Daphnia pulex: one gene and its partner. The protein of the gene in region 2 binds, or shares a complex with, the protein of the main gene of each other region. Links are inferred from orthologs where the notes say so. Each region holds a gene or a part of one and is shown on either strand. Other genes may lie near its edges.

The links. Proteins that work in one complex are often made in the same cells at the same time.
Region 1: general transcription and DNA repair factor IIH helicase subunit XPD-like (region 2) and DNA-directed RNA polymerase II subunit RPB3-like share a complex: the UniProt entries of both Homo sapiens proteins name them as parts of the TBP-based Pol II pre-initiation complex. The link is inferred for Daphnia pulex from reciprocal best matches to the Homo sapiens genes ERCC2 and POLR2C.

Annotation. Positions count from the first base shown.
Region 1 is NC_060024.1:10,723,471-10,727,296, reverse strand, and holds DNA-directed RNA polymerase II subunit RPB3-like, read left to right. Parts: upstream 1-1,706; 5' UTR 1,707-1,813; coding exon 1,814-1,899; intron 1,900-1,958; coding exon 1,959-2,305; intron 2,306-2,370; coding exon 2,371-2,433; intron 2,434-2,492; coding exon 2,493-2,639; intron 2,640-2,705; coding exon 2,706-2,887; 3' UTR 2,888-2,958; downstream 2,959-3,826. Other genes in the region: transmembrane protein 170A-like, read right to left, coding at 3,076-3,271, 3,334-3,439, 3,524-3,647. UniProt on the Homo sapiens protein: Core component of RNA polymerase II (Pol II), a DNA-dependent RNA polymerase which synthesizes mRNA precursors and many functional non-coding RNAs using the four ribonucleoside triphosphates as substrates.
Region 2 is NC_060017.1:8,164,247-8,168,298, reverse strand, and holds the start of general transcription and DNA repair factor IIH helicase subunit XPD-like, read right to left. Parts: upstream 2,801-4,052; 5' UTR 2,705-2,800; coding exon 2,700-2,704; intron 2,641-2,699; coding exon 2,541-2,640; intron 2,470-2,540; coding exon 2,215-2,469; intron 2,149-2,214; coding exon 1,915-2,148; intron 1,854-1,914; coding exon 1,730-1,853; intron 1,668-1,729; coding exon 1,571-1,667; intron 1,511-1,570; coding exon 1,377-1,510; intron 1,319-1,376; coding exon 1,150-1,318; intron 1,083-1,149; coding exon 963-1,082; intron 898-962; coding exon 829-897; intron 771-828; coding exon 599-770; intron 536-598; coding exon 257-535; intron 173-256; coding exon 84-172; intron 16-83; coding exon 1-15. Other genes in the region: cyclin-dependent kinase 20-like, read left to right, coding at 2,892-3,210, 3,282-3,512, 3,571-3,641, 3,709-3,748, 3,816-4,006. UniProt on the Homo sapiens protein: ATP-dependent 5'-3' DNA helicase. Component of the general transcription and DNA repair factor IIH (TFIIH) core complex, not absolutely essential for minimal transcription in vitro.

The sequences.
Region 1 (3,826 bases), on a different chromosome or scaffold from region 2:
CGAATTTTTAAAAATTTTAATTTTGATTCATATATTTCTTTCATTGGGGCCTGATAAGATTTTTTTTTAAAGATGATAGTAATCTTTTTGTACATATTTTTTCTTTTCCTCTTATATAATAACCCTCGGTTCCAGAAATATTGTGCGCTAATTAGAATAATATTGAGTGGCCGTTCTCTCATCCTCCCCCTTATACCAGTTCCTCCAACTTTATATCTCTATGGCTTTACGTGTGTGTTTAGCATTTCCTTCGAGAAGCCCCCCAGGTAGACACCTATAAACTAAGTATATCGAATGGCAAGGATTTAGCAGCTCCTACTCTCTACCTTTGCCCCAATCGTCCCTCCTCAGCTCAGTCCTTAATATTACATGGCTTTTGACGCGTTTGATGACATAATCTTTGGTTTTTGTATTTTAAAAAGTCAAAGTTTACTGGTGTGTTGGGGGGGGGGGAATATACAGCGGGGGATGTACAATGTTCAAATTACTTTTGATCCCTCGACTCTGTTCGCTTTCCTTTTTTATTCTACGATGAAAATTGATCCCGTTTCGTAGATTTTGAATGATAATTTGAATTCAAAAACTGGACGGCAAGAAACGATATGATTACCTTCGAGTATTGGTTTCCTTCATTTTTCTTTTTCAAGTGAAAAAGAACCGACGTCGATGTGCATAATGCATACAATTTGCATACGGTATTGAAAAAAACAAACAGATACTCATTTGGTATAAATTTAGATTTTTCTTTCTTTTTTTTGAGAAAGAGAGATTGCGGAATTTTGCATTATCCTTACGTAACCTTGGGTTTTTTTAAATTTATGTACATGTCAAAAAATTTCTTTTTTTATGTTTCCTTATATTTCCCACACTTCCGGCTGTACACCACATTTTGATAAAAATAACTTTGGGTTCTCATCATTTAATTATTATGATATGCGTGTAGTTTTTATTTTTTCATTTTTTTTATTTTAATATCATTAGCTGTGTAATATTTCCGTGATGCCAAACATACAACTGTCATCTAGAATGAGATTTTTATTCGTTGATTGAAAAAAAAAAAATTCTTTCTAAACAGTTAACCGCGTTTAGCCAAAGTTTCTTCCAGATTGGGACCCGCGCAATTGGAATGTCGTAATATTGGGTGACGTGTCATCAGATCCTCAATCCATCATGGCGAACTTCCTGTACTTCCTTCGATACCGGTAACTTTTTGGACCTTGGATCGGACGATTCGTTTGACGCCATTTCGTCGCACCTGAACCGAAAAGAATTTCACAAGTTAAAAATCTGAAGAAAGCCAAGTTATGATATCTAAATATAAACAATAACTATTTCAACACTGTATTCAAAAAGTGAATTGCACTTCAAAATAAATATGAACAGTCTGGTGAGTCAATTTACGTTGGTTAAGCCGTTAAAAGCGGCGCACATTCTGATGCGCGATAGGAGAGGAAAACAAAACATGGTTTATATTTCCCAATATTTAGTCGAAACAATTTCTAAATAATGGAAACGGTGTATCGAATTCTTTCATCAAAAAATAAATCTACAAACCAATAATACGCAATCAACATCTTCAACATTAAACTTCCAAAATTTTAGAAAAAATTTCAATTTTTAGAAAAATGAAATTTTCCCGCACAGCCTTCGTAATACCTGCCATCTGGTGACAGAATAAGGAGGTTCTTGTACACGACTCATTGTTTGGGCTAGCTTGTTGCAGACTTGCAGAAGGAAGCGAGAGTCGAAACGAGAAGCCGGCAAGTAATTATTCTTAACGTTTGTTGTTTTGAATAATACAACTTACTTAAGAATGCCCTACGCCAATCAACCAAATCTCAAATTGACCGAACTAACAGAGGAAAATGTTAAATTTCAGATTTCAGACACAGACCTTAGGTATTTACTTAAATTGTTGGTAATGAGAACATTTATATCATGCCTTTATCACATTTCAGTGTAGCAAACTCTCTGAGGCGAGTCTTCATTGCTGAAACCCCTACATTAGCCATTGATTGGGTCCAGTTTGAAGCAAATTCCACTGTCTTGTTTGATGAATTTTTGGCACATCGTGTGGGTCTTATTCCACTGACTAGTGATGACTCTGTTGAAAAGATGCAGTATTCCAGAGACTGCACTTGTCCAGATTTCTGTGTTGATTGCTCAGTGGAGTTCACTTTGGATGTTAAATGTTCTGAGGATGTTACACGCAATGTCACCACTGCTGATCTAAAGAGTACTGATCCAAGAGTGGTTCCAGCTACCTCCAAACGGGATGAAGAGCCACCAGATGACAATGATAATGGTACTGCAGAACATTTCTAAAGTTTGGAATCTGAGTTTGATTATAAATTTTTTTGTTTGTTTTAGAAATTTTAATTGTCAAGCTTCGTAAAGGACAAGAACTCAAAATGCGGGCATATGCCAAGAAAGGTAAATTTTGTTGCAGTTCAATTTGTTTCTCCTTCTTGAAAATATATATTTTTTTTTAGGTTTTGGTAAAGAACATGCAAAATGGAATCCAACAGCTGGAGTGGCCTTTGAGTACGACCCTGATAATTCATTGAGGCATACTTTGTTCCCGAAACCTGAAGAATGGCCAAGGAGTGAATATTCGGAGCTGGGCGAATCAGATCAACGTAATTTTTAAACGAATTTTTATGGTTTAACTAGTTTTATTTGAATTTTTATTTATTTATTTTTAGATGAAGCCCCATACGATCCTGATGGCAAACCTAACAAATTTTTTGTTAACGTGGAATCTTGTGGATCTTTACGACCAGAAAATATTGTCTTAATGGGAATCGCTATTCTCAAGAAGAAACTTTCTGATTTGCAGACCCAATTGAGCCACGAAGTGCAAAACGATGCCCTCGCCATCAACTGATTTTCCATTTTGTTCGAAATAATTGTAATGGTTTTGTATTAATGCAATTAATACACGAAGAATTAAGTAAAGCCGAATATCATCAAACTTATTTAATTTGTCTTATAAGATCTCAGGTGGACATGGAGTAAAAAAGGAACTTATGTAGCACAGCAAAATATGGTGAATATGAAAAATACATTGGTGATCTATAATACTGCAAGAATTCTAGTGAAGCCAAAACAAGCACTGCAGAATGTTTGTCCCACACCCCAAAGTGCAACATGCCATCTAGCCATGACTAGTCCTGAGTTTTCATACACAAATGACACAACTGCGCTTGTCACTGCACCTGTTGTTAGAGGTGTGATAATTCCCATCAAAAGAATTATGATGGAGTAAAACCTATTGCCAAAAGATTATATTTAGTTGTAACAGAATATGTGGAATGCTTAGGTATATTTTACCTTCCAACTGCATGCTTCCTTAATGTCAGAAATGCAATTATGGCAGCAACGGAATGAATGAAGATGGAAGAAAACATTGCCCACAAGAAAACGTTGTACCACATTTCTAGATGTATTGGGCATTGAATATTTTTATTATAGGTAACATGTTTCCTCTAAATTTAATATGTGGGTGAAAAAAAAATAATACCAAAGAACTCTTCAAGAGGAGCATTTGGTTTGTTCCAGATTTTTTCGAGGATGAAATCCATGTTAGAACTAGTTGACTGCGAGCCATCAGCAGATATTGGTGTTTGAATCATAGTGAGCTGCATTTTGCTATGCAGTGTTATCGCTCAGAACGATATCTGTCGCAGTGTTGTAAATCAGTTTGCTAATAGCAAGATAAAGAATAATTGATGGATGATAGCTTACAACGGAGCACGCGTAAAATAGACACCCAATAGCTGGGAAGCTGACTATCTTACGAAATTAAATTATACATGTTCTGTTT
Region 2 (4,052 bases):
AACATTAACACGGCGCTACATGAATCGGTAAAAGAAATGGTCAATATAGTCAGAATCTTTTGTTTTCCTATTATTTTTCATACCGTCCAAGATGGTGGTCAAAATCAATTCCTTCAGAGACTTTACCCCGTGCGACTGAAAGTAGTACAGCTCCTCGTCCATTATCACAAGCCTTCACTCGATTAAACAGATCGATTCAGATTAAACGAAAATCTTTAGACTAGAGGAATTAATTACTTTTAGAAACGAAACGTACTTTGATGTAGTTAATCAGCGCCAAACTCGTTTCTGCTGCGTCTTGGGTTTCGATAAAGAGGAGCTTGTGTCTTTGCAATTGATCGATAATGCCCTGATCGTACCAAGACGACACAATTGTTTCCAGGTATAGGTAGCTGGTGAAGAAGCAAACAATCCCATCGGGTACAGCGGCCGCTACTTCAACCAACAAATTTCCGTAGTTGCGAATAACGGCGGTGTCCTCACGAGTTTCGTATCGCGATGACATGGCGACCTGGTCGTTACCTTTCGATACGATCTATACTTAAAATAAGAATTTTAGTGTTACGTTAACATTTATGAAAAATGAGGCATCTACTACCATTGGCAGAATACAGGGTCTCGCCAAAGTCATAGTAAATGAGGTCATTATGACTGGATGGAAGTCGAGGATTTTCGGATACATATCAAGCGGTGAAAGGGTTCCTGAGGTGATGACGACAGTTTGGAAACGATTGAAAACTGGTTTGATGGCAATAGATGAATCTAAACAGCTGTAAAATGTACTAGCATTAATCACTGTTGGTCTTTGCGTGTTCTATATTCACATACCTGAAATATAAAATTGGGTTGGAAACTGTAGGTGCCCGATCTTCAAACGGTTCAATGATGATGGTGAATCTAAAATAGTAAATTACTTTTAGATATTTTTTCACCATTTTATCACTGTAAATAAAGATATTAACCCTTTAGTATATGTCGAGACCAATGTAGCAAAGTGAGAAACGGTTACAAGAGGTGAGAAATCCGTCAGGTCGGATATTTCAAGAGTGCGAATGAGTGAAGATAAACGCTCTGCGGTGAATCTGGAAAGTTTATCAACAAAATAGGTAAAATAATAATTTGTGCGTGTGAAACTGTATTTTTATATACCTTAGAGGTTTCCTATCGATACACACTTTAATGTGAATATCTCTCAAGAAACCGGCGGGACTCTCTTGAACGACGTGCTGGACGCGGAGTCGAGTTTTGATGTACTCTACTACTCGCTTCAAAAAGGCCACGAAGTGCTCAGCAGTACGGATCGTTCCAGGGACGGCCTCTATAAATGAAAGAAATGTTAAAATGGCCCGAACGGATACTTGTGAATAAATACAGACCTTCTAAAATTTCAGAAGGTAAAACCGGGTTAACTAAAGCCATGTCAGTTTCTCTCGCTATGTTAGCATCTCGCAATCCTTCAACTAGCCTTTGGTATTCCTTCTCCAACCTTCTGTTGTCATTTTCTTTCATGCTAAAGAGTTAAAAAAGTTAACAACTCTGAAATTAATCATGCACATCCAGTTGTGATTACTTTGAAATGGTGGTTTCCAGAATTTGAATGCTATTGGAGCATTTATCCAGCAGACGTTTCGTTATCTTGACGCTCATCGAATCTATACAGACATTATCTAGAAAAACCAATATTTAATTAGTAGGGCAATTTTAAGAGGTTACGTTTCAGTAAAATTACCAATATTGTGGGCTTCATCAAAGACAACGACGCTAGTTTTTGAAATTTCCTTGGAAACGACTTCTGCAATCTTGGGATCAAGTAAGTAATGATAGCTGTACACCACAATGTTGGCGTGAGTTATCTATAATTTAAATTTGGTATTAATTTGGTTGTACAATATTTTATAAATGTCATGATCTAACGGTGTATCGGGCAAGAAAATAAGGACACCATCCTTTGGCCTGTCCATATTCCTTTAAATCGTCCAGGTTGTACACCCCAGGAGGCAGCGGAAATTCTTTTCCATGAGCATCGAATCCTTCATAAAAGTTGCATACTGGCACAGCGTCATCACCTGCATGACGAGCTCTTACAAACGATGCCGTGAGACCGTAACAGCGCCCGTCGACTACTTTTCCTTCTCTCTCCTTACTGACCTGTTATGTAATTGTGTTGTTGATTAACCATACTTTTAAATCTTTTTACTATTTAATTCATATTACTGAGGGGTGAATGCAGAGATTCTTTCTGGAGCTAAGTGCCAAGCCAAGAATGTTTTGTTCCATGCCCATCTCTTTTTCGTAGTAATTCATTAATTTTCGCAATTCTTCCATAACCTTTTCAATTTCAGGAACAGTTCTTGAACAGTAGACTAGTTTGGTTAAATCAAGGGGGTGAGCCTTCATGTAGGCCACAATTAATGATAGCAATGTTGTTGTCTTCCCCGTTCCAGAAGGCATTTCCAATAAACAGTGACCCTGAATTGATCCAACATCAACAGATATTTATGTAATTTCAAGTTATACTAGTATTGGACGATACAACATACTTTTGCATCGAGAGCATGTTTCAGTTCGAGCATGTATGAAAACTGCTCCGGGTATATGTAATCGTAAGGGAAGTAGACGAGGAGTCCATCAACATTTAATCTATGAACATGTAAATAAATTAAATGTGGTCTCTGAATTGACAAAAGTGCGGGATTTACTTCATTTTTGTACGAGAAAGTTTACAACAACATGCACATAAAGTTGCTTGCCACTTGTTCTTCTTCAAATTTCTAGCAGACTAATTTTCCTTTTCACGTGTCGATAATGGTTACCAATAGATGGCGCGTAGTCAAGGCAACCAATTTGTTGTTTAAAAATATTTGTTGCGATTAGTTTTTTTAAACGATCTCATGGAAAGATATATTGTGAACGGCAGGATTGGGGAAGGGGCACACGGGATCGTTCTTAAAGGTATTGACAAGTCCACAATGAAACTGGTCGCCATGAAACGGATAGCGTTGAAGAACATTAACGAGCAGGGATTGCCGAACTCGGCTGTTCGTGAATTGCTGGCTCTTCGCCTGATCCGCCATGAATATGTAGTGAACCTAGTGGACTATTTCCCACAAGGATATTCGCTTGTGTTGGTCTTTGAATATTTACCAATAGATCTCTACGAATTTTTGCGCTCCAACTCCAAACCTTTGCCGACGAGTCACGTGAAAAGCTGTACCATATTTACATCTCTACAATCAGATTTTAGGCATTCAAATAACCAATATGCAATCCTTTCCATTTAGACATGTGGATGCTAGCCAGCGCTGTGGAATATATTCATAGTTTGGGTATTATGCATCGGGATTTGAAGCCGGCCAATTTGCTGATTGGTTCCCGAGGCGAACTGAAAGTGACCGATTTCGGATTGTGTCGTACGTTCAATCATTCCGAAAAGGCTCAAAGATTATTCACACATCAGGTGGCTTCGCGGTGGTACAGAGCACCGGAACTGCTCTATGGTTCTCGCAACTATGGCAAGTTTCATTTTAATTTAAAAATGCCATGTTAATTCTAACACCTTTTTCACAACAGGACCGGAAGTCGACCTATGGGCTATGGGCTGTATCTTTGGTGAAATGTTGAAGAATTCTCCCCTTTTTCCGGTAAATAATGGCCAATGTTGTCAATATAATATGTTGTAACAGTATCCGGATTTCCATCAAACCCTAGGGAGAAAATGACATTGGCCAACTGTGCACAGTCATTCAAGGTCATTAACAATACGGTAATCATAATCAAGGTGAATGGCATTAACTCTTTTGTGGGTAATTACATAGTACTAGGCACTCCAGACGAAGAAAATTGGCCAGGTGTATCAGCATTGCCAGATTTCCACAAAATTTCATTTACCAAAACTCGGAAACAAATCTCCTTTAAGAAAATCCTGATTGATGTAGACGAATCATCACGAACGATGCTGGAACAATTTCTTCGCTATTGCCCCCAATCACGAATAACAGCTAAACAGGTCATTTCTAATCTTCTATCTTTTAAAAATTTAAATCTAATTAAAA